Rattus norvegicus: one gene and its partners. The protein of the gene in region 1 interacts with the protein of each later gene in a biochemical or structural test. Links are inferred from orthologs where the notes say so. Each region holds a gene or a part of one and is shown on either strand. Other genes may lie near its edges.

Region 1 (4,031 bases):
AAGGGGAACGACGAAGCTGTGCTGATTTGAAGCACAGTGGGAATTCACGTACTTAACTGAAAGGATTGAATTTCATTTTATTGGTAAATTCTGAAGCAGATGCAGGCAAGACCTAAGAGGATAGTGTACAGAGAGAAGATGGGGCTTCAGGATCGTTGGTAGACTAGAGAGAGCCCCAAAGGCTCGAGGAGGGAAGAACCTCAGTGGATTATCTAGGAGTGAGGCAGAAAAGAACAAAGGTTCCTGGCAAGGCGTGGGGCCTTCTAAACTCAGGGGTTCGCTGCCATATAGAGAAGGTGTAGCTGCTGGAAGGAGCCATGTGATGAGGATGGGAAGGCTGTGGCGCAGATAGTGAGATGCCTGGGTCGGGAGGTCAGGGGAGACCCAGGATTGGCGTCACCTGTCTGCGCAGAGGTGAAGCCACCAGGCAACTGGCCCAGCACTGAGTCCAGAAGAAAACAAGGCTAAGATAAAACCAGAGCTTCGGAGACTATCAGCATGCAGGTAGGGCGAGGACGAAGCGTGAGGAGGGCAGCGGTCCACGCGAGAGGCCTCGAAGGCCACCGGGCCCGCGTCCGAGGGTCTGAGGTGCCTGCCCACACCTGCAGGGCCTCTTCCCGAGAAGACACCCTCGAAGGCCAATCTAGGATCGGTCTGCTCAGCCCTCGCAAAAGACGTCTGTGGGGAGGGGGCGTGGCGGCGTGCTGTCACTCACTGCCCGCTAGCCAATCCACGGGTGCGCCCCTCCCCGGAGAGGGTGCGCGGAGGGCCCGCCCCCGCCGCCACCGCGGGTGTGAGGCGGCCAGCCTGGCGCGGCTCCCTCCGCCAGGCAGCCTGCCCAGGTAACCCGGTTCGGCGGGAGGGTCGGGGGTCGCGCGGCACCCTCCACTCCCTGGGAGGCGCGCACGCTGCAGTGGGGCCGGTGCGGGCCGGAGGCCCGTGCGCGCAGCTGACTGACGGGCCGCAGCCTGTGGGCGGGGTTGCGTGCGTGACGGGCGGTTGTACCCCGCGTTGTGTCAGGCCTGCGCGGGGAAAGCTCGGCAGGACCGAGGTGTGTTAAGTCCGCCTTCTGCGGCCTGCCCCGGGTCGCGGGGCGCAGGCGCGGCGGTGGGCGGGGGTCGTCCCTTGGAGCGCCTTTGTTCCCGGCGCGCTGAGGGCGGAGCCGAGCCCCGCCCCGCCCCCGCGCTCAGTCCCCGCCCCGCGTCCGCCCGCAGGAGCTGCCACCGGGTCCCGCTCGCCTCCCGGGCCGCCGCCGCCGCCTCCGCCTCCGCCTCCGCCTCCGCCGCCCCGGGCCCGCCGGCTTGCGTCGCCGAGGTCGCTGCAGCATGGCGGGCGTCGGGACCCCCTGCGCCAACGGCTGCGGGCCCAGCGCGCCCTCCGAAGCGGAGGTGCTGCACCTCTGCCGCAGCCTCGAGGTGGGCACCGTCATGACTTTGTTCTACTCCAAGAAGTCGCAGCGGCCAGAACGGAAGACCTTCCAGGTCAAGTTGGAGACGCGCCAGATCACATGGAGCCGCGGTGCGGACAAAATCGAGGGGTCCAGTAAGTGCGTTCCAGTCCGGCCTGTCTCGCGCCCGCCCGCCTCCCAAACACTTGGGCAAACTTTCGGGCCTCGCGCCTGGCGCCCCATCTCCGCCCAGTCCCTGGTGGTCACTCTGGGGCGGGTGGGGGGGCATCCGGGTCTTGGATCACCTGATAGGACACCCCCTCGCCCAGCAGGGGGGAGTGTTCCAGGCACTTTGCCCTGAGGCCTAAAAGTCCTCACTGTTTGGACAAGTGGAGTGGGATTCTGGCTCCTAGAATTGGGCGGTTGTCAGCGGCTTTGAGGGCAAGCCAAGGCAGGGAACCCCTCATCCAACCTGAGAACCTGGGGAACTGACAAGACCTTACTGACCATTGCCCTTTCTCCAGAGAGTGTTGTCTGTGAGGAACTCAGAGCTCCGGGATGGGCTTATTGGCACCAGAACCTTTGGAATCCTCATGTAGAACTTAGGCAGATGTTGGGGTAGGGCTGGTTGTGGAGCACAGCGGGCCTACTCATCTCCCTCTTGGAGACGGGGAAGAACGTGGTCCTTTGGGAGGGCGGGGTACAAAAAGCTAAAACAGTGGCTGCTTTTTTAGCTCCCGTGGATGCTTTTTTTTTTTTTTTGTCCCAAATCTGAGTTTTGGAGGTCCATGGCAGATGTCCAAAGCCAGAGCCGGGATTCCAGGTTGAGCTACCAGACGCCTTTGCCCTTGCAGCATTTAACGAGGAACTTGCATTCAGAAAGGTTTTCCAGTCTTGGGGTTCTCCTCTTCAGAGCTGACAGCCAGTTTGAGGTTGGGCCCTTTGTGTCGGATGTTCTAGTGACCACAGGGTGGCCCAGAGTTGCTCCCCTGGTTTTCCTGTCTTAGTCTTCCCAGACCTGAGTTTAGTGGGTTTACACAAGTCTCTGGTGGGAGTAGTGAATAAGGGGTTTTGAGAAACCTCAACTCTTTCTGATAACCATTTCCCTCGGTGTGAGGCTGGGTGGGCACTCAGCTCTGTCCTCCCGTTTGAGGAAATGATGCATTTGCAACTCCAGGCTTTGAGATGTGTCTTGCAAAAACCCCCAAAGAGACTATGGTTGAAGAGACCTAGCCTCAGAACCAGGTCTGTGTTAGAGAAGGGGGTTGGTGTCAGGAAGTAACAACAGAGAGAAGCTCCCACAGATCTTCCTGGGTATGGTGTCTATGTGTGTAGATGGGTGAGGAGATGAAGAGGAAGGGAAGGTTTCTGTGGTAAGGCAGCCATCCTCAACTACAAACTTCAGGTCTGACATAGCTGCCAAACAGAAATGGCACTTAACCATCAACAGTGGCCGGCCCCATCAGCCCTGGACTCCACTGGAAGAACATTTCAGTGATTTTTCAGTGTTGGGGGATGGTACTGCAGACAGTTCCTGTAGTCCTGAGAACATCACTCAGACATCAGGTTGCGGGCATGGCATTTTACATCTGTAGTATTTCCTGTGTTTAAGTGGTGGCATTAGTTCCCTGGTAGCTAGCTCTTGGTAACAGCTGTGTTGTAAACCGTGTGTGTGTGAGACCAGTAGACAGTAAGTGTAGTCCATGGTTAAAGACAGGTTTGCGTTTGAAGCCTGGATGTTAGCTGTACATCACCCAGACAGGTGCTTTCTTTCTCTGAGCCTTGGTTCCTCTGTGAGTTATAGAAGTGCATTTATTATAAATGGTCACTCTTGGAAGTGAGATAGTTGATGTCAAGTAAACTAAATATGTAGTAGATGTGAGCAGAGACATGGCAGATGTTTAAGGACCAGTTATTAGCAGCGGTAGCTATAGCTGATGCTTGTCCTCCTAGACCTGGGATGAGGCAGGGTGGGGGGCTCTGAGGGAGGTCTAATGTGGCTGTTAGGGGGAACAAAGGGCTTGGAGGTAGGGGGGCCGAGAGAGGTTCACATTCCCCTTAACTCATTACTCAGTAAGAAAGAGGAAACCTTCATTTTGTCGCACATCATTTACTCATCCACTCACCTGCCTTGTAGAAGGTGTTTCTGTAGAGAAAGTGTTTGGAGTTTTGTACATTGGATGTCATTGTGAATTGGGGCCTGGACAGAAAGAAGGGATTTAGAGACAGAACCATATAGTCCATTTTGTCTCACTCGGGTCTTTGAGGTTGGGTGGCAGGAATACAGAGGACGTAATCTTCCCAGACCCACAAGGGTCATCCAGAGATGTGCATGTTTTCCTTGGGTCTAGCTCTATGATTTTTGGGGTTCAGAATGAAGGCTGGCAGACTAGTCTGTGTGGACTTCACACCTTGTGAATGGATCTCCCCACCGAAGCCTTGCCCCACTTCTGCCCACATGCACCTCACTGCCTTGGTGGGTTCCCAAACCTGCAGCCTCCTGCAGATTGTGAAAAGGATTGAGTTGCCAGCCGGAACCCCTACTGCTGTCTGGTCTCTTGTTCAAATACCCCAGGTATTTTGACTTTTTGGTGATAACCTCAACCCTGCCTGAAGCCAGGCCAGAGAGGAAGACAACGGCTGC
Region 2 (3,500 bases), on another chromosome or scaffold:
TCTAACTCACACATCACTCTGGTGGGTGTAGATCCGGTCAAACAATGCCTCAGGTGCCATCCACTTCACAGGCAGCCGGCCCTGCAAGCAGCAGCGTCTGTGTTAGCGGGATGACTCATGGGGCGAACTGAAGATGATGGCTGAGGCAGTGAGGACACAAGTAGGTGGGAGCCAGGGTACGGGACACACATCTGCAGCCCTCCTACAAGCCCTTTTTTCTTGGACCACTCAACCCCCACACGAGAGCAACAGGAAACATCGAAGTGGGCAAAAGTCTAGTGGCAGGGAGCCCCGGGGCCGTGCCGAGCAGGAAACTTACATTGGTGGTTTTCTTATAGTAGTCGATATGGTGAATGTCTCGAGCTAGGCCAAAGTCTGCGATCTTCATGACATTATCCTCTGTCACCAGGACATTCCTAGCAGCCAGGTCTCGGTGTATACACTGAGGAGGGAAAGGACCAGAGGAGATGACAGCCCTGCACTGCCGAGCAGCCATTCAGTCCCCTCTACTCCAGCACTGCCTATGTAGTGGGCAGCAGGACTGCGTTATCTCACGGGTCTTCCTTCTGCCCACCCCACCCCCCCAATATCCTCTAGATCTTCCCATACCCTCCAGACGACCCCTCACAAACATTCTTTAATTCCAGACACCTTCGACTATAGCCTTCTCCAGGACTGTAGCAAGCCCTCCTTTATGCCTTTGTTCTAGATCCTAACCTCTAGCTTTTAGATTCGTAACTCTAAAACAGACCACCTGGGCCTATGCTAGGTGCTAGCTGAGTGCTATGCTAAGTCTGTGGAGGTGTGTGTGCTGAGTACCCTCCTCCCTGGCAAGGCATGTCTGCTCTGCATACGGAGCTCAAGCAAAGACACCATGAGCACTGGAACCATGCCGGGTTAATTTTACTTCTACTATATTGAAACAAGTATTCTTATTCTGTATCTGATGAAATACAGGGGCGGGAGAGAAGAAGAGCACGGCGGACTGCTCTTCCCGAGGCCCTGAGGTCAATTCCCAGCAATCACATGGTCGCTTATAACCACCCGGATTGGGACCTGAGGCCTCTTTTGTCATTCAGGCATACTCGCAAATATATATATAAAACAAAACAAAAAAAAAATTTCTTTCCAGTGTTTTGAGACAGGGTTTCTTTGTTAGTCTTAACTGTCCTAGAATTTGCTATGTAGGCCAGGCTATCAGGCTATCCTCAAACTCAGAGATTGGACTCTGCCTCCTAAGTGCTTGGATTAAAGACTTGGGCCACCACTGCCCAGCAAATAAATGAATCTTGAAAGAAAGAGAAAAGGAGGGAGAGAGGGAGACAGAGAGAGACACACACAAAGAAAGAGAGAGAGAGAGAGATAAGGAGATAGATATAAGGCTGGGTTCTATGACACATGCTCCGTAATCCCAGCCCTTGAGAGAGACCGAGGCAGGATACATTTTACACATTTCAGGCCAGTCTATGCTACACAATGAATGTGAGGCTGGCCTCTGTTACAAAAACTAGTGGGACCTTAATTTCAAAAAGAAAAACACGAATTAAAAATGGCTGAGTCTATGCAGAAAGTGGTTACACAGACTCCTAATCCGCTCTGATCCCAAGGGTACAGAGGCTCTCCCAACTCTCAGAGCCTACAGCACGAGGGGACAGGCTCCATGCCACCACAGCTCTAAAGGATTAACAGTCATAAGCTGGAGACAGGTAGGGCAGTGCTGTGTCAGCATCCCGGCACCAGAGAGACAGAGGGAGAAGGATCGTGAGCTCAAGGCCAGCATGGAGAGCTAGCCGGGTCCAGTCCCACCCTGCCTTTTGTGGGGAGGGGTGTATTCAGTCTCCACACCTTCTTCGAGGCAAGATACTCCATGCCCCGGGCCACCTGATAGGCACAGGACACCAGATCTTTGGAAGACAGCTGTTCCTCAGGGTTGTGGCTGGGGTTGTAGCAATACTCCAGCCCAGGAGGCCTCCGGGCCTGCAGATACTCCCGAAGATTGCCTTTGGAGGCATACTCCACAATGACATAGAGAGGACCTGAGAGCAAAGACGTAGGGACCACAGGTCAGGACATAGGTCAACAAGGGGAGCGCCATGTAATGGAAGCCCCTCCCCCTGACATCACAGCCCACCGTCTCCCATGCCCAGTGTAAACTCTTTCCTGCCTCCTCCAGAGGGAACAGGTAAAGCCATTCTGCCCGAAAGAAAGCCAGAACAAGAATTTTTACCATATAGTCCAGAACGCTCCCAGGCAAAGCTGAGGGTAGGCACCCTAATGCAGAGGCTAATGACATAGTTCCTCTCCGTGTTGGTAAGGAATCTTAAATGAATGCTAATCAGGCTGGCTCAGCTCCTGAATAACACATTAAACCCCCTCCCTGCCCTAGGAGCCACCTACCATCCTGTGTGCACGCCCCCAGCAGGTTGATGATATTCTTGTGCTTCCCGATCATTTTCATCATCTCCATCTCCGAGATCAGGTCCGACAGGTCCTTCTCTGTCGCATCAGCTTCACATGCAAACCAGAGGGGGGGGGTGAGGGAGGTGGAAAGGACATCTGAGGGCCCGGGGAAACAGATCCTGGAGGAGCCCCCTTTTCTCCAGGACTCCCTTCCTTCCCCCTGCTTCCCACCAGGAGCCACCACTACCCTGTGGTGCTACAGAAGGCGGCTAGAGCCACCACAAGAAAAACCAGCCAGTTATGGGATTTAAGAGCATGTGAGCCCCTGGACAACATTAGGAATCAAGGTGAGATTGTAGCAGGTGTGAGCGGAGACTGCATCATAGGATGCCTTCAAAAGGAAAAAGACCACAGGACACAGGAGCTCCACTCACACTTCAACATCTTCACGGCCACTTTGGTCACGCGGTTGGGTTTGTCCTTATCCAGACCGATGGCTTCGGCCAACACCACCTGCCCGAAGCAGCCCTCGCCAAGCGGTTTTCCTAAGACCAGTCTTGAGTGGGAGACAAGCAGTGAGTGACAGTTAGGACTGGACCAACGGGCAGTGTCAGTCAGGGCTGGTAAACGTCAACACCCCCCACACCTCCATTTTTCAAGACAGGGTTTCTCTGGGTAGCCCTGGCTGGCCTGGAACTCGCTCTGTAGATTAGGCTGGCTTTGAACTCAGATCTCTCTACCTCTGCCTCTCCTCCTGAATGTGGGGTAGACCTGCGTGCCTCTGCCTCCCGAGCTCTGGGATCAAAGGTGTGTGACACCATCAACCAAGAAGATCAAGCCTTTTTTTAAATAATTATTTTATGTATATGAGTACACCGTAGCTGTCTTCAGACGCACCAGAGGAGGGCATCAGTTGTAAGCCGCCATGTGGTTGCTGGGAATTGAACTCAGGACCTCTCTGGAAGAGCAATCAGTGCTCTGAACCTGCTGAGCCACCTCTCCAGCCCCCAGATCAAGCATTCCTCTTGGTATGTCACTCAACCAAGAGCAGGAAGTAGTGGGGCTATTTCTAGAGAGGCATCATGTTCTTTCAGTGCCTA
Region 3 (4,222 bases), on another chromosome or scaffold:
CAACCATCAAAACTCAGACTAGCACAGCACAGAGGTCAGCACACTTCGGTTTCATACAAATTCAAGCCACTTCTGAACAAACTCAGCCTCTTCTAACTGGTCCGTCCACTTGCCCCTCTCTCTCTATTGGGGTTGGCGGGTGACCTTCAGAAACACACGTGAATTCTCTGCGTTTCCTTATGCAGAAGGGAGGGGGACACTGTTAAGGACCTTTCAAGTTTAAAACTATAATGATGAAACTTTCATTTTTTTTCAAGCCCAAAACATCTGATTTAACGTTTTGCACTCTCTGCTTCATAAGAGCAGAAAGTTAATTTCTTTTGTTTGTTTTTTTATCTCACACAGATTTATGAAAATCCAGCCTAAAGCATCCACCTAGTGTCTACAGCAAATCCTGACACATTGGCTAAGCAGTAGCATGATGTGCTCAAACTTGATCTTCACTCCCAACGAAGGGTGCCAGAGGGTTGAGATCCTGCCTGTAGCTATAGGAAGGAGGCCTCAAAATACACACTGGGGGGCTTCTACTCCCCATGCAGTCTGAAGACGGCTAGTTTCAAGAGAACCTTTTACCCAATAATGGATGAAACGGACACACACACACACACACACACACACACACATGCACACACACATGCACACACACACGTGCACACGCACAGAGATACACGAAATTATGTCCATCCCAAATTATAGCCTCTTATAGTAATAATTTCCAGAAATATACAATTAATTTCTTGTAAATGTAAACTGCCAAGTATGTGGCTCACTGCTGGATAGTAAAGTTGTAGCAATAGTTGTAAGGAAAATGCTTGACTGAAGTTCTCAAGGCCCTGGGTTCAGTCCCTATCACCATACACATAAAAACCAAACTAGATTTTTTGTAAGATAATGATTTATAAAGCATTTTTAATTGGGTGAGTTTTTTAAAATACCAAATAATAAATAAACTCTTTACTGCTTTTATTTTTTTCCAGAAAGCAGTAAGTTTGTATTTCTTCTTGTTTGGTTTTGTTTTGTTTTGTTTGAGGCAATGTTTTTCTATAGACCAGGCTGGACTTGAACTCAAGAGATCCACCTGCCTCTGCCTCCCAGTGCTGGGATTAAAGCTGTGCACCACCAGGTCAGGGCCAGGTTAGAGTCTTTTAAAAAGTGTACTTATTTTTCAAAACTTTTCATTTTGAAAAGACCAAATTTACATAAATCATTACTGAACGGTATACTAAATATGACTTCTGTTAATTTTATTATTTTCAAAGATCCTACCTAGTCAGGTGGCGGTGGCTCATGCCTCAGGAGGCAGAGGCAGGAGGATCTCTGTGAGTTCCAGGACAGCTTGGTCAGAGTGAGTTCCAGGATAGCCAACACTACACAGAGAAACCCTGTCTCGAAAACTAAAACAAACAAACAAAAATCTTACCTAAGTTTGTGTTTTTAGCTCTTTTCAAAATTTAATTGATTTTTTTTTTAAGATGGGAGGGTCTTATTTCACAACACAGGCTAGTTTCATTCCAAATTTAATTACTAAATAACTTTTAGGATAGATTCTGGTTATATAGCCTAAGCTAGACTTGAACTCAAGATCCTCCCGCCTCAGCCTCCTGGGTGCTGGGATGACAAGCCTGAACCAGGTCAGGCTTATTTCCAAATTTGTATTTTCAAATTTTTTTGCTCTTGACACTGAGGCACACAAGCCTGAATATATATGTAAATGAAGCATACACCTGCTGTTCACAAGACTCCTCAGCTGCTTCTGGCAACAATCTCCAGTATTTGAAAACTACAATAACAAGGAATCACGCCATTAAAAATACATTCTCTTTCTCTCCAGTGTGAGGCAATGTCTTAAGCCAACGGCTAAGTATGGATATAATATCTGATTCTCTAGTTTTGAAACTGCCAGAAACAATATCTTTATTTAAAAAAAAAAGGAGTAGTATCAGAATACCTCTAACTGAAAGCAGTTTCAACCAGTAATAAGTTTAGTGGAGGAAAATAAGTTACTTACTCGAGCCTCCTCCTGAGTCACTCTATGCCTAAGATCCAATAAAGTCAGGATAACCCTCAACTAAGTTCTGAACTTGAAGGCGAAATCCACACAGGACTCCACTCAGCAGCCTTGCAAACCTGGCCGTGCGCCACCAGCACCGGAGGGAGCCGAGGGTCTCAGTACCGGACCAGACAGTCGCGGCGGAGCCTGGCCTGGGCCTCAGCCGCTCATCAGGCCCGTCGCCCTTCCATAGGACCCGGCGCACCGCAGCTCAGGCCACCACCTGCCCTTCGCCCCTCGCAAGAGGCTGTGGAAAACCACCCGATGTCACCGAGCGGGTCGCACCTCGCTGGCTACCCTCCAAGGCCACCCCGCCCAAGGTTCTCCGGGGCCCGACGCCGGTCCAGGGCCGGTACGGTTAGGGACTCTCCTGGCGCAGCAGGGCGCCGAGTGAAGTGACTCGCGTAGCCCTGGCTCGACCAGGCCCCTTCACCGTCGAGGTGGGACGTCTAGTTCCACTCACCTTAGGGCCCTCGGGGGGCACACGCGGGTCGTTCCACGTCGTGGTGCGGCTGTTGTGGTCCACGAAGAAGGGCCAGCCGGTCTGCGGGTCGATCTTGATCTCCCAGCCCGGGGGCAGGGGGTCTCGGTCGCTGGCTCCGTTGCCGGACGCCATCTGCATCACCGGCGACTGGGTGGCGGCGCTCATGCTTAGTTGGGGTCCGCCCGGGGCGCAGAGCTAGGGCGCGGGTCACGAGGTCGTGGAGTGCGGGCACCTCTGTGTAGCCGATGTGTCCGGGAAGCCGGTGCGGGCACCTTTATGAATTAAAGGACTGGGTGACGTGGCCGAAGAGGGGTGGAAGTGTCTGGAAATAGCCTCCTAGCTGCCAAAGGGGAAGGAGGAGATAAAGAGAAGGCAGCAACTGGCCGGCTAGAAACTTCTGGTCCCATCCAGAGAACTTGGCGGCCGCCGTGGGTTGGATGCGGAACTCCGCCCTGAGTCATCGGCTATAATCGCGGCGGGGCGGGACCGTGGGAGGGATTGGAGGCGGGGATTTGTCACCCGTCCCTCCTTCTAGTCTTCTCTGGCTGTCCCTCCCTACCCCTGTCCTGAGTGCGTCCCGGGGCCTGTGCGCCTCGCGCCCGGTGGACGCGCACCGGTGTCCTTGTGATCCTTGGCTAGTTTCGGTCTCTGGACTCCTCAACACTTATTCGTTGCCGCGTGGGGTGTCCCGGGGCTGGCAGTCCAAGGGCTGACGCCTAGGGCCCCACCTCTGCGTAAGGACTAAATCATCTTTAAACTCGGAAAGTCTAGATCTTCCCCACTCCCAAGTACGCTAATATTCAGTGACGCTGGCGTCCTGCAGTGACGTTTTTAATAACTTTTTCTCAAGGGCCTTAGGACTTCTCCCTAGGAGTTCTGGAATGCTGATCTGACGTCACAACAAAAAGAAAGTACTGTGGAAACTCACCTGCCTGCTTTGGGAAACTGAAGAACTAAGGACTGATAGGACAGCTTTGTGCTCTTGGCTTACTCTATGATATAGACACATTCGCATAGTGACTAGCCTTAAAATTTATAATCCCTGGGGTTTGTTTGGTTTTGTTTTTAATGATAAAGGTGGACTCTGATTTGGAAAATAAGGATCACACCACACCCTGCAATTTTGTTTGTGTAAGTGACAATCGACTTCTAATCCCATTACCCATCTGGTTCCCAGTGCCCTCCAGAGAGAGAATGTTCGGGGGATCCAGCTCAGGTTCTTAGCGTGCAAACTCATTCCCTCACTTCAGAACCTCCTGGAACTAATACTGAGCCCAATTTCCCAACGCAGATTCAGAGAATATCCTGGGACCTTCAAAGATACCATCTCTGGCCTCGTCCCCTCAGATTTTTATTCTGTAGCAAATACTCTGCCAGACATCGTCAAAGAGCTGATTTTTTTTTTTTTAAACTTCCAAAGACCTTCTTACTGACTCTAAAGTCTCAAAGCTTCGGTATAAATATTAACATAGCTAGCCTTCAGGGACTGACTGGCGTCACCAAACACATCTGTGTAAGCCCGAATGTGGGCTTATCATTTGATAGTCACATTGAAAGGTCTGGACTCTTAGATTCATTCACTGACCAGCGTCTGTCTTTTGCTTCTTTATACCTGAACCCACCCAGCACACGGCTAGGTCCAGGTCCAGAGTCCATCTTCAATAAAGAAATATTGATATTTTTTGAAG
Region 4 (4,238 bases), on another chromosome or scaffold:
TTTTCTTGGTCAGGGCTCCACATCCCCGTGTCTCTGACTCTCCTCTCCCTGCAGATCTCTGACCGCCTCCGAAGGAGCTGGCCCCCTTCCTTCCTGTCCGAGTTCCGGGCTCTGCAGTTCTCTCTCATGCTCTGTGCTTTCGTCGGGGCCCTGGGTGGCGCGGCCTTCCTGGGCACCGCCATGTTCATTGAGAATGACCGCCGGCGGGCACAACTCCACGTGCAGGGTCAGTGAGGGCCACTGTCAGGGTCTACCTTCACAGTGCCATCTGTCTGTCTGTCCATCTGCCTGTCTGTCAGCCTCCAAGTACACGTTCCACGGTTCTCCCTCCACTCAGACTGTCCCATACATTCATGCCACCAGCTACCTGCCAGGGGCAAGAGCCCAGCTTCCCTGGCTCATCCAGCTCAGCATTGAGTCTATCAGAAAGTGGATTGGACTTTCTGCCTGTGTGCAGTTCTGAGGGCCCTCACTGCTGTTTCGTCTGTATTCCTCTGCCTGTTTGTCCTCTGTCCCCTTGCTGGCTCTTATCTTACTGGCTTTGGCTCTGATCCCTTTCTCAAAGGTCTGTTGCATGAGACCGAGCCCTCAGATGACCAGATTGTGGTACCTCAGCGAGGCCGTTCTACCCGAGTCCCTGTGTCCAGTGTGCTCATCTGAGGAGCCGTTGCTCGAGCCCAGCCATAGATGTCACAGCTGGTCCTGGGCCCACCCCAAACGGTTCCCAGGCAGAAGCCCTCACCAGGCCCAGGTCCAAGAAGGAAGCCCTGGGATAGATCCCAGCTCCCAGACACTACATGGGCAGCCCAGGGAAGAGATGGGTGTCCAGAAATGGGGGTTGTCCTCTCTACTAGGGTAGCCCAAGGGGTTTGGTGCTATTTGTAACGGATGTAAATAAAATTTGTAATCAGACTCCCGACTGACTGCTTGTCTCTCTGTGGCTGCCACTGGCTTCAGGGAAATATCTGTAGCCTCCGGATTCACCAGGGGCTGTCAGGTCACCCTGTGGGTAAGTCCCTGTCTTCTGGGCTTGGTAATCTAGAAGGAGGGCTGCTCTTTTCTGAGTGAGCTGGCTCGGTGTGACCGTGACTCACCGTGGTCCTCTGGAAGTCGCTCTCCCAGTACGTGAGCCTAGGAGCTGGGGGCAGTGGTACCCTTGGTCCACACAGGCCCTGGCAGAGCCTCCTTGCAGTTCTCCCACCTGAGGAGGCTACAGCTGGCCTGGTTGGCACGTGTCTCCTTTCCTAGTGGAGGGGTTGCCTCATTCTGCAGCCTCAGACCCTTCCTTCACACAGTCCCTTTGCCTCCTCCCCCTTCCCACAACTGGGTGGGGGTGAGTGGGCAGGGGGCAGGCTCAGCCGGCTGAGGAGCCTGATGATTTCCTGCCCTCACCACAGCTTCCTGTCGCACGCGGGTGGTGAGAAGGAGAGGCAGGCGGGGAGCAAGAAAGGCAGGTACAGCTGGGCACAGGGATCGTGCAGCTGGTGGCTGGGGCACAGGCCCCAGCGCTGGCTCCGGGACTAACACCTTTCCGGAGCCAACGCTAATCTCAACTCAGTCGAGCAAGAGAGCAGACGCAGCTGCCGGCTGCTGGATCCCAGGCTGGGGCCCGCTTGGTCCCACACCCCTCCAGGGGCTGCGGTGCAGCAGGGCCTGGGGCAGGTGCTCTGCAGATGGAAGCAGACGCCTTGAGCCCTGTGGAGCTGGGCCTCCTGCTGCTGCCCTTCGTGGTCATGCTCCTGGCTGCCCTATGCGTGCGCTGCCGTGAGTTGCCAGGTAAGTGGGGAGCTTTGGGCAAACGGGATGCTGGACACTCCATCGAATCCTCATGCCGTCCCCGGCCCTTCACCCTCCAACTGTCCCTACTTCAGTCCTGGGTGGGGGTGGGGGACCTGCGTGTCTTGTTCCAATGTACCTGATCCTGCCTCATTGGCTGTCTCTCCTCTAGCCTCCTATGACAGTGCTTCCACAGAGAGGTGAGTGGCAAACCCATGGCCCTGTGTGTCTTCCCTTTGTTCCAATCAAGGACTTGGGGCTGGGGCCCAAGGCCCAAGCCCTTGTACTCAGGCTATCTCTTTCTTGCCAGTTTGTACCCAAGGAGCATCCTCATCAAACCACCTCGTGAGTTCCGTGACCCTGGCCTTCCTCGAGGTTTCTTAAGATTGTGCCTTTGTCCTGTTCATCTTTAGCTGTCTGAAGGGTTATTACCTGGCTTGGGATAGGGGGAAGTGGGAGCCCCAATGTCTGTCTAGGGCATGGTTTTCAGGGGTACATCTGTCCTTAGAGGCCTTGATGAGGGTGGGGGGATGTCTGGCATCATCCCTTCAAGCTTTCTTTGCTCTGTGTCCTCAGAAATAACCGTCCCCCGAACACCTGCTACTTCCTACCCTCTTGTCACTTCCTTCCCACCCCTGAGGCAGCCAGACCTGCTCCCCATTCCGTGAGTATCCCCCAACTCCCTCCCTCGGATCTACTGTGCTTCCACACCTTCTAGGTTGGGGAGGCACTTTTTCCTGGTTTAACCCCTCTTGCTCCCAGAGGCCTACCCAGATGTAATCTCTGGCCTTTGGCTTCCAGGAGATCCCCACAGCCCCTCGGGGGCTCCCATCGGATGCCATCTTCCCGGCAGAATTCAGATGATGGTAAGGGTGTAGAGCACAGGAGGGCGTTGGGGAGGAAGTGCAACCTGAGCTGACTCGGTCTTCCTTTCCCTCTCTCTTTGAAGCCAACAGTGTGGCGAGCTACGAGAACCAGGGTGGGTCTGGGGTCTAGGGTAGTGGGTGGGGTGGGGAGGCTGGAGCTGTCCAGGTCATGTTGACTCCCCTTCCTCATAGAGCCAGCCCGTAAGAACGTGGATGAAGATGAGGATGAAGATGACTATCCTGAGGGCTACCTGTGAGTGGGGAGGTGGGAGGTGGCCGTGGAAGTTGGGTACCCTTTATCAACTCATTCCTTCCTTCCAGAGTGGTGCTGCCTGACAGTAGTCCTGCTGCCGTCCCTGTTGTCTCCTCTGCTCCGGTGCCCAGCAACCCTGACCTTGGAGACAGTGCCTTCTCTAGTGAGTCAGGCTTTCTGTCTACCTCCTTCCGCCATGTGCTGCCAGCCTCTCCTTCCCTCCCTCTGTCTCTGTAATGATTGCCGCTCTTCCATTTCCTCCTTCAGATGTCCAGCTTCCTGCTCTCCACCTTCCATTGTCTTGTTTTTCCTTTCACCTTTGCTCCCTCCTCTCTGTTGTCCAAGAGATTTCCTGACTCTTCTTGAACCCTTCCATTGAAATTTCATTTCTCGGCTGGATGTGGGGGTGCATGCCTATATTCCCAGCATCAGGAGGCTATGGCAGGAGGGTTGAGTTGGAGGTTAGCCTGGGCTACATAGTGATACCCTCTCTTCAGAAACCAAAACAGCACTACGATCAACAAAAAGAAAATAAAAGAATCCATTTCTCTTATCTGAAAGTCCCCCCTCAGTTCTTTTTGTATAGTACCCTGTTCTTGTTTCTTGGAAGCAATATCATCTAATGTGTCTGTAAGAACTTTGATTACAGATTGTTTCTCTCTGTGTCTCTCTCTTGTCTCTGTCTCTGTCGTTCTGCATATCTGTCTGTCTCTCACCCCCTCTCACTGAAGATGTCTTCTGCGTACCCACATGGTCTTTGTTTCTCTTGGACCGCTTTTCTCTGCTTTGGTCTTTCTCCTTCCCTGAACTTTCCTCAAGGTCTGGTGATCTTCAGTTTTCTACCCTCTTGTCTCTGCATAGCATGAGTATCCTTTACCTGAAACACTTCGATACAGATTTAGAAATATTTATAAATATATAATAAATTCTTTTGAATATGAAACTCAAGATTAAACATGAGATTAATTCACTTATGTTTTATATACACCATTATATAATATATACCAAGTCTGAAGGTAGGTTTTTGTTTTGTCTTAGTTTTATTGACATCGGGCTTCATGGTCTAGTCCTGGCTGTCCTGGAACTTGATATGTAGACCAAGTAGACTCGAACTCAAATTAAAGGTGTAGGTTACCATGCTCAGTCTTGAAAATCTTTTGCATGAAATCAAAGTTTCATGGAATTTTCCATTTGTGGTAATGCACGAGTACTTAAAGGGTTTTGGATTTGGAATATGCTGAATTTTGGAGTTTTAATTCAGAAACACCCAACCTTCTGCATTTACCCTAGACTATTTACCCTAGACTATCATGTCTGTAATCTGGCTCTGGTTTTGTTGTTGT
Region 5 (4,060 bases), on another chromosome or scaffold:
GAAATAACCAGTGGTTATTCGACGTTTTGTTATCTACCTGACCGCCTTGTCCATTTTAATTCGGATATGAGTGAGATGGAGGTAGTGTGTGTTTGGGGGTGGTGGTGAGGATAAAGGACTACTCTCGTCGTCGTCCCCCCCCCCCCCCAAGAGCATTCAAAAAATAGAGCGCAAGTCGAAGGCCCTCCCTTCCCCCACTCGCTCTGGGAAGTGCCGCTTCGCCCAGGTTTGGTTCCTGGAGTGTCAGCGCCCCCTTTCCCTCGCCCGCAGGATCGCGGCGTCCCTACTGACTCTTCGCTGGGTGTCTCGGTTTCGTGGCTCAAACATCCCGAAAGCTTTCCTAGGGTACCTCGTGTGGGACCCACTCGGAAGGGTGGAATTTAGGAAGGTCAAAATACTTCTGCCATCCAGATGCAGAGGGCAGGCGTCCCGTAGTCACACCTAGCCTGGGCCTTTTCATATGAAGATTGAAGAAACGAGGACCAGATAACTCAGAAAACAAAGGCAGTACCAGATAAGTGGCTCCAAAGGGATAAAGGTCGTTCTTCCGGAGAACATCCATCCCAAAGGTACGCTGAGCAACCGTTATTTGCACACCATCTCACAATCCAGCCTTTCAAAAACCCATCATCTTCCTATTAGGCTCCACAGTTTCCTAATCCCATTAAAGGATTACCAACTACGCGGCACTTTCCCCTAAGACCCCCAGTTCAAAACGACGCAGCCGCATTACGATTTCTCCCCAGGGCCATATTTCTAGCGAGGCCCGGACTGCCTATAGAAGGGAGAATTTGAATTCTAGATTTATATTCGTTTTAGAAATAAGCAGTAATTTTACGTGTGTTTTCCTTTCGAAGGGAGTACAAAACTATAGCGACACCCCCCTCCCCCATTGAGAAGTCAACTCATTTTGGAAATGATGGCTGTTTGTAGTTTCATGAACCCTCTTTCCCGGCAGAACGTCAACACCTCCCCCTTCAGCCACCCCCACCCCATCTGGTTTGCCCCCCCCCGTTGTTGTTGAAGTCTGGGGGTTGGGATTGGCCCCCCTGATTGCATAAGAGCAAAAAGCCATGGAGAGGTCTGAGCCTGAGAGGTTCAGAGAGCAAGGAGGAGTCCGAGGGAAACTTTTATTTTGAAGAGACCAGGGGGGGGGGGGACTTCATTTCCTGACAGCTATTTACTTTGAGCAAATGATTAGTTTTCGGAGGATGGACTATAACATTGAATCAATTACAAAATGCGGGTTTTGAGCCCATTACTGTTGGAGCTTGAGGGAGTGAAACAAACAGAGGAACTGTGGGCGAGGACTGGAGGCTTGGGGCTCACTTTTTCCTCCGGGCTATCGGATTTTCTTAGCAAACTGACGTAGGAGGAGAAGGTAAGGGAGAGGGAAAAGTGACTTTTGTTTCTAAAGATCCCTGATCGTAAATTGGGGCTGGAAGAAGCTAAGTAACTTCAAATTTTGGGCAACGAGGAAAACAAAAACAAAAACAAAACGGCTGAATTCACTTGTGTGTCCAGAAAGTAACTTATTCTGAATAAACTTCACTGGGATGGGGGTAACCATTAGAGAGTCAAAGATTAAAAAAAAAAAAAAAAGTCCAGACCTATTTTTAAAAGCCATGTTTTTCTACACAATCCTATAGCCTCCCAAAGAAATAGTTAGGCTTACATTTTTGAGGTTTTTCTCCAGGGTGGGGGTGGCATTCGTGCTTACTGGGACGAACACCAAGTCACATTGGGGGTGGAAGTAACGGTGTTTGGCCTCTTGGCAATGGGTCGTGGAAGAGGACAGGTTTTTAATGGGTATTTCCATTCGTCGCCCGCGGTTTGGCAGGACTACGCGGTAGCGGGTGGTGTGGCGCGAAGCTTGGGGAGGGGGTACACCAGGAGAAGTGTGGGAGGAAAGGGGCGCCGGGTGGGGCGCCGGAAAGGGCTAGGAAAAAGGGAGGTGTGAAGGGCTCGGCTGGAGGAGGTCGGACCTCGGATGCCGGCCGGGCACGCTCGGCGCCAGTCGAGCCCTCGTAATTACTGGACGGCGAGGCTACTGGAAACATCTGGGGCCAGACTTGAGCGCGGCAGTGGCAGCTGCGGCACCAAGAGAGTAGTGAGCGGGCGAGGGGGTGCCTGCTCCGAGGGTTCCGGAGAGTTGGGAGCGAATTATTTGGGTGCTAGAAGCCGCTGGCGGAATCCTCAGTGCGCTGGGTTCGTGCGCCTCTCACCCAGGCGACGCAGGCGGCGGCGCGGACGAGCGATCTGGAATAATGACAAACACATTTGGCCCAGAGTGAAGAAGTCGTCCTGGCCTCGCATTCCAGCAACTGGGATTTGAGGAATTTCGAACTGCACTCCGAGGGGCCCTCATTGTGCTCCGTAGTCCCCACCCCCATTCTGCTCGCCTGAGTCTCCAGTGGACTCTTTTCTGCAGGGCCGGGGGCCTGGCTGTTGCTAGTCCTGGCCGCAGGCAGCAAAGAGGCAAGATCCCTGGCTAGGAACTGACCTCTTGGGAAGAAGTCAGGACAACTCTGAAAGGACAGACGTGGGTACAGGTAAGCAGAAATATAATAGGCCAAACACCCTCGCCTCCTGCCTACAGAATTCTGGGTGTCTCTGCCCTGGGATGATGGGTGCGTGGCACTGGTCGCCTGAATGCAATGCTCAGTGTCCTGCAAGGCTCAGGAGTGATCTCCGCGCAGCCTTCTCTCCTTTCACCGTTATCCCCATTGGAAATCAGTTTATACATGACTCCCTCCCCCGACACCCCCAACTCAAGCGGGACCGAGAAAGCAGGCGGCTCTCCCTTGGCTTTGAAGCTTCTTTCTGTTTGGAAGGGGGTGCGGGACAGTCTGCAGAGTAAGGCAGTATGGCTCGGCCCCAGTCTACAGCAGGACCAAGCCAGAGCCTCGCAGCCAGGTGTGCAGGAGTTGCCAGTGACTTAGCGACCGGCCTTGGCGAGAAAGGAAGGGCTGGCCTGTTTGTGTGCTTTGGGGCGCTCTTGCAGGACCCGCGCTTAGAAGCTCCCAGCTTTGCTAAGACCTCTAGATGTAAGGAAAATGCCTGGAAGACCTTGGTCACTCAGTCCACCCCCGGAGGGTGTGCGTGGGGGAACCCAAGCTGGGGAGGGGGCGTGGGTGGCACTTTTAAAGTCTGGGATGCCCAGCGTCGGACAGAGCTGCCCAGAAAAGTCCCAGGCTGGGCGGTGTGGGAAACGGTTTTTTTGGCTTCGTGGCGGAATTGCTCAATGTTTTGGACTGAGTTGCTTCTCCTGAATGGTTTCGGATCAGTCTTAGGCAGCCTGGAGGAGCCGGAGGAGGCCTCTAGTGTAAACCCGCACTGTGGTTCGCAGCTGCACAGCCCCAGATTTAACACCCAAAGTCGCCGAAGAGGCATGGGGCTGAGGGCACTTCTCGGGGTGCGCACCTCTTCTGCGGATGCACTGGCGTTTACATAACCTTTCTTGTGCTCGGACTTTCCCGGACCAAGGTTTTCCGTCTTCCTCCTTCCTCTCAACTTCTTTCTTTCCAGACTCCTCTTGATGAGGACTCCTTCGATGATTCCTCGACAGGGCTCTCTCTCTCTCTCTCTCTCTCTCTCTCTCTCTCTCTCTCTCTCTCTCTCTCTCTGTGTGTGTGTGTGTGTGTGTGTGTGTGCCTGTGACACACCATTGATTTGTCCCCATGGTCAGTTCCCGCTTCGGAACTCTTGCAATGGTACTGTTTTTGGATTGACCCTAGTACAGCCGAATTTATAAAGCTCACCGGAGAAGGGGGCGAACACAGCTCAACTCCACTAGTTATTGTCAGGGCTTCCCTCTGTTACTTTAGTCTGCTGACCCGCAGGGATTACACTCACAACCTGGCCTCCCAGTTCTGGGCCCAGGGGCTTCTACGGTCTTCCTGGGCGCGGGCTTGGGAGAGAAGCAGGGGGAGGGGCTTCAGGCCGAGCTTCCAGCTGCAAACGCGTCAGGCGCCGAGGCGGGCGGGCGGGATTTCTGCCTCCTGGGGACAGGACCTAGGCTGCGCGCGACCTGGGGACGTGGTGACCAGCCTTCTGCCTG
Region 6 (3,123 bases), on another chromosome or scaffold:
CAGGCCCCTTCCTCTCAGAACAAGCAATACAGGCTACCGTGAGTCACTCTCAAGACATGCCAACCACAAAGAAGACCAGACCCGCTGCCTGGAAAAGGTTTAGACCAGAGTCACTTGGGAAAGACACTTCCCAGCCTGTTATCAGCCTGCAGGCTCCAGGCTCCCAACTTTTATGAGCTGTCACCCATGCTGGGATGGGATCTGGTGATACAGCTGTCTTGAATCATATCTGCTCCTGTAAGTGACCCCTCATCCATATTCCTGTAAGTAACCCTAATAAAATCCATTGATTCACCATGTTGGACTTTGGTGTTATCTGTCCTTCAGTCTGTCATGGGTTCCCTATCTAGGGTGAGAAAAGTCTTGTCACACAACTAAAGTTAGTATCACTGAACACATGCGGTTAATGTTCATACTGTGGGCATACCCTGGCAAATGTTAATATTATTGCCAAAGATGCACTTAATTATATTACTGCTGCCTGACGACTTGATGCCAACATGCTGAGAAGGGCCTTCAAAATCCATGTTTCTACGGTTATCCACAGATGGTGACTGTCAGCTTTCATTGCTGCGAATAGACATGAGCCTAAGGCTTTGAGCTAGACAACTGCTGGACCACTTAGCTCTTAACTCCAGCCTCTGTCCGTTGTTATTTTTCTGATTCGGGTTGGCCTTGAATGCAAGATCGTCCTTAACTTTTCCAGCACTGGGTTACACATATGCATCACATATATCACCATATGCACGGGCCTCTAGTGTCACCAGTAAGAGTGACATCTGGAGCTGTTTTCAAGCCAGTTCTAACTAGCTCCGGGGGTCAGGTCACAGTTCTGGCAGAGTGGGCTCACCTGAGGAGTGGATGACTTTACTCCTCTTCTGCATGACATGCATCAGGGCACCCACTAGGCCTTCTGACTGCTGAGGGAGTGCTTGCGGTACTGAGTTCTCCATAGCTCCAGGGGTCTGCAGCGAGAGGTTGGAGCAGAGAGGCGGGCTCAGGACTGTGAGAAGAGCATTTCTCCTGCCCTTTCCTCATTTCTTCTCTCACACACTCCAGTCTCTTTCAAGGGACCACACCAATCTCCAATTTATCACCGGGTCCCCCAAAGCCGGCATCTCAACCACGGCCCACAATGTTCCGACTTACACAGACCCCCGTTATCTATCCTGCCCGTCTTTACCTTGTTCAGCTGAATTCCTTGCCGGATTTGATCCAAAAGTGCGCCCCGGCCCCCACCAGGTGCTGGCCCCACCCCAGACACTGGAGTAGGAGGGAGCGGGGGAGGGGCTGGCCCACTTCCAGGGCAGACTGGAGGTGGTGGTGGTGGTGGTGGAGGTGGCGGTGGCGCTAGTGGTCCCCCAGCTCCAGGGAGTGGAGGAGGTGGTGGTCCAGATCTTCCAGTGGCTGGAGGGGGTGGTGGTGGAGGACCCCCTCGGCCCGGAGGTGGGGGCACTCGGGGTGTTGGTGGGGGCGGAGCACCCCCCATAGGTACAGGGGGCAGTGGACCACAGCGACCCTTATTACTCCCAACAGGGGGTCTTAGGGGCTGGCTTCCTCCTCCTCCTCGGCATGGTGGTGGTGGTGGTGGCTCTGCACAGGGGTAAAATAACACGTAAGTTTGATAAGTTTTGAGCTTCATTTTCTTTCTTTCTTTCTTTCTTTCTTTCTTTCTTTCTTTTAAACAAAGTCTCTTTTAAAAAAAATTTGGGGTTGGGGATTTAGCTCAGTGGTAGAGCGCTTGCCTAGCAAGCACAAGGCCCTGGGTTCGGTCCCCAGCTCTGGAAAAAAAAATTTTTTTTTTACTTTGTGTATAGAGGTACACTGTAACTGTCTTCAGACGCACCAGAAGAGGGCGCCAGATCCCATTACAGATGGTTGTGAGCCACCATGTGGTTGCTGGGAATTGAACTCAGGACCTCTAGAAGGGCAATCAGTGCTCTTAACCGCTGAGCCATCTCTCCAGCCCTTCATCTCTTTTTTTCTTATATATTTCTAGGGTAACAACCCCCAGGACCAGAGAAAAGAAAGCTTACCCTGGCGCCTCATCTCCTGCCGGACTGCCTCTAGACCACCCTGGTCCTCAATAAAGTCATAGATGAGCTTGGAGGTCTCTGCGTCAGTGAGTTGGGCCTCACTGATCCCTGCCCTAGAGAACAAACTGCGCAGATCCGGGTCGAGGTTGTTCACCTGTTCAAGTGGGAAAAGAGCAGAGCGGGGTTAAAAGCAGAAAGAGAATTAGGAAGGGGCACAGATTATCACCATAACCATAAAAACGAAGAACCCAAGAGGGCTGTGGAAGGGCAGGGGCTGGGCGTGCGCTCCGAGCCTTGGGCAATGGGAAAGTATGTGGAAACTGGGTGGAGTCAGGGGGTGTTTGGAGCTACTCACATCAAATCCGTTCTGTGGATCCCAGCCCACGTGGCTGACGTGTCTAGGGAAGGGAAGGGGATGTCAATCAAGCCCCAGGGTCTTCTTTACCTCTTGCCCTCTCCTTCCCAGAGGGAGTCCAAAAGGCCAGAACAAGTGAGCAAATACTTTGGTTCACATTCATCCGTCAGACCATTGGCTGGACCATGCCTCTGTCCCTCCTTCCATCTGCCTACACATACCTGTTTCCGGATTTGCCCACCAGTCTCTCCTCTCTTCTTTTCCTACCCATCTACTCCTACATTTACTTTTCCTTCCTTCCTACTGCTCTTCCCTCCTCTTCCTCTTCCCTTCTCCCACTTTCTTGTCTACGGGTTGTTGTTTTCTTCCATCTACTTTTTAAAAAGATTTATTTAGTTTGTGTATATGAGTACTCCATCTGCATGTGCACCTTACGCCTGCGCACCAGAAGAGGGCATTGGATCCCATTCTGAACGGTTGTGAGGCACCGTGAACCCTTGTCCTTAATGCTTCTATCTCAAAAGTGCCGGAGTACAGAAGTGCCCCACCGCACTTGGCAATCAATCCATTTGCTGTTTTACATGTTCTCTCCACACGTGTGTTCACTCATTATACACTATCCTCATTCTCTTGACTGTCTAGTTTTCTATCCCTGTCCACTATGTGGGTGAAACAATGAATCTGCATAACTGTCTGCATCCTCATTCACTCACCCATCCAGCTACCTGCCCA
Region 7 (3,500 bases), on another chromosome or scaffold:
TGCACAGTGGTGCCCAGGGAGCTGGAGCATGTTGGCTTAGGGGAGGGAATGAGAAGGGAGACCGGAGTTTGGGGAGGGGGAGGCCGCCAGTTCCTTATCGTCCAGCTTTAAAGACAAAGCTCCCATTGACCCCCCCACCCCACTACCAGGGCTTGTCCCTCCAGTGAGGTCACTTTTCTAAGCCCAAAGCTCCGGGGTAGAGGGGAGTGCTGCTAAGGATGGGGTGTCTGAGGCAGGATGGGGCAGCCCCCTCCTCCTGGATAGAATTGCTTCATTGTGGGCTGAACTGTGGCCCCGGGCACTGCCCCCACCCTCTGCCCCCATCCCACCCTCTGCAGACACAATAGGGGCTGTGTGCTAGCCCCAAAGAGATGTTTATTCCAGGGCCTAGAGAGAGGCAGGATGGGGGCAGAGAAGTAAGTGCCTTAGTTGAGGAGAGGGTAAATGTTCCTGCCTAAAGTGTCCTTTCCAGGGAGAAGAAAAGCCAAGCATGTCTTACTTCTGTATTAACCCCTCAGTGCCCAAATTAGTGCCTGAAGGAGGCACAGTGGGGGCTCTGGTGGGAAAAGAGTCCACCTTCCTGTTTGGAACGGTGAGGGAATCGGAGAAGAATCTTGTGAGAATGAGAAGCAGGGGGGCCCTTGGAGGCCTTGTCAGGGTAACTGGGACAGGGCTTTCAGACTGGGGGCACCTAACTTACCTATCTGCCTCACCTCCACTTTTACAGTGTGTCCTGGGACTCTGAACGGACTGAGTGTGACCGGAGATGCAGACAACCAGTACCAGACGCTGTACAAACTGTATGAAAAGTGTGAGGTGGTCATGGGTAACCTGGAGATTGTGCTCACAGGACACAATGCTGACCTTTCCTTCCTGCAAGTGAGTATGCACAGCCCCTCCCCCAACCTGTCCCCACTCAGCCCCATAGAGCAGGCTTGCCCTCCCTTGAGACCACCCTTTGCTGCAGTCAGCATTGCTGCAGTCAGACTTCCTAAGACTTGCACACTGTAGCTGTCTTCAGACACTCCAGAAGACGGCATCGGATCCCATTACAGATGGTTGTGAGCCACCATGTGGTTGCTGGGATTTGAACTCTGGAAGAGCAGTTAGTGCTTGTAACCACTGAGCCATCTCTCCAGCCCGACTTAGTAGTTCTTAAGGCTCAAACCTAGGGAGACAGTGACTGTAGTATGCCTATAAGCAGGGGTATATAAAAGCTGGCCACCAGGAAGGGAGAGAGCAGGTGGCGTTCTGTCAATCAGAATTGTACAGTAAGCCACCTGAGGAACCAGAGTCACCCGGAGAGGCGAGGACTCCTCACCCTTCTGTTATGACTCAGAGAAGAGATAAGTGGGGAATGTAGATCTGTGCTCATTTCTGTGGCTTGTCTTGGCTCACCGAATGGCATAGTACTGTGACAGCATATCCCTACATATCAGGGAATTCAGAGCTGGGGTTATAGCTCAGTGATGGGGTGCTTGCAGAACATACATGAGGTCCTAGAATCAGTGCCAAGTTTGGGGTTTGGGGGAGAAAAGAAAAGAAACTCAGGGAAGCTGGACACAGGACGGGAGTCAGGGGCAACTGTGGTACACTGGTGGAGAGTACTCACCAAACATCAAGGGCTTGGTGTGGTGGCGCACACCTTTGATCCCAGCACTCGTGAGGCAGAGGCAGGCAGATCTCTGTGAGTCTGTGGCTATCCTGGTTTACAAACAGTGAGAAACCAGGTCTCAAAATAAATAAATAAATAAAATAGAGTTAAAGAAGCCGGAGACCTTTTGTCCTATTCACTGCTGCGGTCTGCTCTGTCACAGTGGATCCGAGAAGTGACAGGCTACGTCCTCGTGGCCATGAATGAATTCTCTGTGCTTCCCTTGCCTAACCTCCGAGTGGTCCGGGGAACCCAGGTCTACGATGGGAAGTTCGCCATCTTTGTTATGTTGAACTACAACACCAACTCCAGCCATGCTCTGCGCCAGCTCAAGTTCACTCAGCTAACAGGTGAGTTTCTGATGCTCCCTTCCAGTCTCGCCCCTGAGCCTTCCTGCCAACAGGCACCTCGTCGATGACCCAAGACCGCTCCCTCTGGTTCGTCTGGGTGCCCACTACCTTGGTGGTCTAAAAGTCCACTACTCTTTAAGCAGTAGCTGGCCCCAGGAGGAAACTGGGGGCATCTGCTCCAGGAAGGACCTTATGTGATGGCGGGGTTGGAGTGGGAATTGAGTCTATTGATAACCCTCCTTCCCTGGAATCCTTTGCCCCAACCAATTGGAGAATGTAGGGGTTAAACAGCCTGGGCACCCGCTGCTCTCCCTGTCTCAGTTGCTTAGAAAACATTCAGGTAGGCCTAGGGGATTGAAGCAGGACGTCCTGCCCCTCCCCCACTGGCTAAACCGGATCTACACAGGTGTCTGAAGAGGCGGGAGATTCTTTAGCCTGACTCCTCCTCTTTGAGAGCCAGCTTTTCTTGAAGCTCGAATATTATTGGTAGGAAGACATAGAAGGGGAGTTGTGCTATAATTTTCAGCCTGTGACTTCTCTTCCCACCACAGAGATTCTGTCAGGGGGCGTTTACATTGAAAAGAATGACAAACTTTGCCACATGGATACAATTGACTGGAGAGACATCGTGAGGGTTCGAGGCGCTGAGATAGTGGTGAAGAACAATGGTGCGAACTGTAAGTGGATGCCATCAAGGCGGCTCACCTCGCCCCAGCAAACTGGAGCGGCTCCTTTCCCATCCCTACTCCATTCATTCCCTCATCTGAACCCACCTTCCTCAAACAGTCACCTCAGACCATTGACCCAAGAGCCTGTCAGCCAGGACCGGGTCAGTCTCCTGGAGCCCAAACCAATGGATCAGGAAAAGAGGCAGAAGTTATCTTGGGTGCTAAGCAGAGAAGCCAGATCTTTGGATTAGCTCCCTGTTGCTCTTGCCAGTATAATATCCCCTACTGCTCCAGTCCACTCAGGCACAGAATTGGCTTGTCTGGAAAGAACCAAGTTCCTGGGATGGCACCAGGCTGAGACTGGCATCTGCCCCAGTCCCTGCCTTTCAGCTGCCCAGTGGGTAGTGTGGAGGAGTAGCTAGCCCCGCCCCTTGTTGACAGGTTCACTTGAGCCCAGCCCTGCTCTCCCAGGGCAGGGAGGGACACAGCCCAGGGCTTTTGCTTCCTGGGATTGAGCTTCCTGTGTGCTGACATCATACCTTGTTGATCCAAGCAAGCCTTTCTCAGCTCTGATGGTCCGGTGTGTCCTCTTGCTTCCCAACCAGGTCCACCCTGTCACGAGGTCTGCAAGGGACGGTGCTGGGGTCCTGGACCGGACGACTGCCAGATATGTGGGTTTGAATTTTCTTGTAAAAAGTTAAAGCTCACATCCTCCCATCCCCTTTACCTGTGCAATCCTGCAAACACTTAGAATGAGCAACGGCCCCTGAATTTAGCCCTGAGCGTCGTGTGTTCTCTCTTTCCGTAGTGACCAAGACGATCTGTGCC

The links.
Region 2: the proteins of Plcg1 (region 1) and Fgfr1 form a complex in vitro, tested with the Homo sapiens proteins (4 studies listed by BioGRID and IntAct, with this or other methods). The link is inferred for Rattus norvegicus from reciprocal best matches to the Homo sapiens genes PLCG1 and FGFR1.
Region 3: the proteins of Plcg1 (region 1) and Bag3 form a complex in vitro, tested with the Homo sapiens proteins (2 studies listed by BioGRID). The link is inferred for Rattus norvegicus from reciprocal best matches to the Homo sapiens genes PLCG1 and BAG3.
Region 4: the proteins of Plcg1 (region 1) and Lat form a complex in vitro, tested with the Homo sapiens proteins (2 studies listed by BioGRID and IntAct, with this or other methods). The link is inferred for Rattus norvegicus from reciprocal best matches to the Homo sapiens genes PLCG1 and LAT.
Region 5: the proteins of Plcg1 (region 1) and Pdgfra form a complex in vitro, tested with the Homo sapiens proteins (2 studies listed by BioGRID, with this or other methods). The link is inferred for Rattus norvegicus from reciprocal best matches to the Homo sapiens genes PLCG1 and PDGFRA.
Region 6: the proteins of Plcg1 (region 1) and Was form a complex in vitro, tested with the Homo sapiens proteins (2 studies listed by BioGRID). The link is inferred for Rattus norvegicus from reciprocal best matches to the Homo sapiens genes PLCG1 and WAS.
Region 7: the proteins of Plcg1 (region 1) and Erbb3 form a complex in vitro, tested with the Homo sapiens proteins (2 studies listed by BioGRID and IntAct, with this or other methods). The link is inferred for Rattus norvegicus from reciprocal best matches to the Homo sapiens genes PLCG1 and ERBB3.

What each region holds. Positions count from the first base shown.
Region 1 is NC_086021.1:169,804,068-169,808,098, forward strand, and holds the start of Plcg1 (1-phosphatidylinositol 4,5-bisphosphate phosphodiesterase gamma-1), read left to right. Parts: upstream 1-1,231; 5' UTR 1,232-1,325; coding exon 1,326-1,542; intron 1,543-4,031. UniProt on the Homo sapiens protein: Mediates the production of the second messenger molecules diacylglycerol (DAG) and inositol 1,4,5-trisphosphate (IP3). Plays an important role in the regulation of intracellular signaling cascades.
Region 2 is NC_086034.1:73,197,856-73,201,355, forward strand, and holds part of Fgfr1 (fibroblast growth factor receptor 1 precursor), read right to left. Parts: intron 2,957-3,500; coding exon 2,835-2,956; intron 2,509-2,834; coding exon 2,398-2,508; intron 2,037-2,397; coding exon 1,846-2,036; intron 443-1,845; coding exon 320-442; intron 82-319; coding exon 11-81; intron 1-10. UniProt on the Homo sapiens protein: Tyrosine-protein kinase that acts as a cell-surface receptor for fibroblast growth factors and plays an essential role in the regulation of embryonic development, cell proliferation, differentiation and migration.
Region 3 is NC_086019.1:192,532,038-192,536,259, reverse strand, and holds the start of Bag3 (BAG family molecular chaperone regulator 3), read right to left. Parts: upstream 2,801-4,222; 5' UTR 2,700-2,800; coding exon 2,514-2,699; intron 1-2,513. UniProt on the Homo sapiens protein: Co-chaperone and adapter protein that connects different classes of molecular chaperones including heat shock proteins 70 (HSP70s), e.g. HSPA1A/HSP70 or HSPA8/HSC70, and small heat shock proteins (sHSPs), e.g. HSPB8.
Region 4 is NC_086019.1:190,369,337-190,373,574, reverse strand, and holds the start of Lat (linker for activation of T-cells family member 1), read left to right. Parts: upstream 1-1,438; 5' UTR 1,439-1,673; coding exon 1,674-1,776; intron 1,777-1,948; coding exon 1,949-1,976; intron 1,977-2,086; coding exon 2,087-2,121; intron 2,122-2,352; coding exon 2,353-2,440; intron 2,441-2,577; coding exon 2,578-2,642; intron 2,643-2,725; coding exon 2,726-2,755; intron 2,756-2,834; coding exon 2,835-2,895; intron 2,896-2,963; coding exon 2,964-3,058; intron 3,059-4,238. Other genes in the region: Spns1 (protein spinster homolog 1), read left to right, coding at 55-226, 566-660. UniProt on the Homo sapiens protein: Required for TCR (T-cell antigen receptor)- and pre-TCR-mediated signaling, both in mature T-cells and during their development.
Region 5 is NC_086032.1:33,405,717-33,409,776, reverse strand, and holds the start of Pdgfra (platelet-derived growth factor receptor alpha precursor), read left to right. Parts: upstream 1-1,260; 5' UTR 1,261-1,381; intron 1,382-2,283; exon of another isoform or gene 2,284-2,552; intron 2,553-3,984; exon of another isoform or gene 3,985-4,060. UniProt on the Homo sapiens protein: Tyrosine-protein kinase that acts as a cell-surface receptor for PDGFA, PDGFB and PDGFC and plays an essential role in the regulation of embryonic development, cell proliferation, survival and chemotaxis.
Region 6 is NC_086039.1:17,080,057-17,083,179, reverse strand, and holds part of Was (actin nucleation-promoting factor WAS), read right to left. Parts: intron 2,435-3,123; coding exon 2,392-2,434; intron 2,191-2,391; coding exon 2,037-2,190; intron 1,594-2,036; coding exon 1,184-1,593; intron 966-1,183; coding exon 851-965; intron 1-850. UniProt on the Homo sapiens protein: Effector protein for Rho-type GTPases that regulates actin filament reorganization via its interaction with the Arp2/3 complex. Important for efficient actin polymerization. Possible regulator of lymphocyte and platelet function.
Region 7 is NC_086025.1:1,593,880-1,597,379, reverse strand, and holds part of Erbb3 (receptor tyrosine-protein kinase erbB-3), read left to right. Parts: exon of another isoform or gene 1-592; intron 593-727; coding exon 728-879; intron 880-1,817; coding exon 1,818-2,004; intron 2,005-2,555; coding exon 2,556-2,681; intron 2,682-3,277; coding exon 3,278-3,343; intron 3,344-3,480; coding exon 3,481-3,500. UniProt on the Homo sapiens protein: Tyrosine-protein kinase that plays an essential role as cell surface receptor for neuregulins.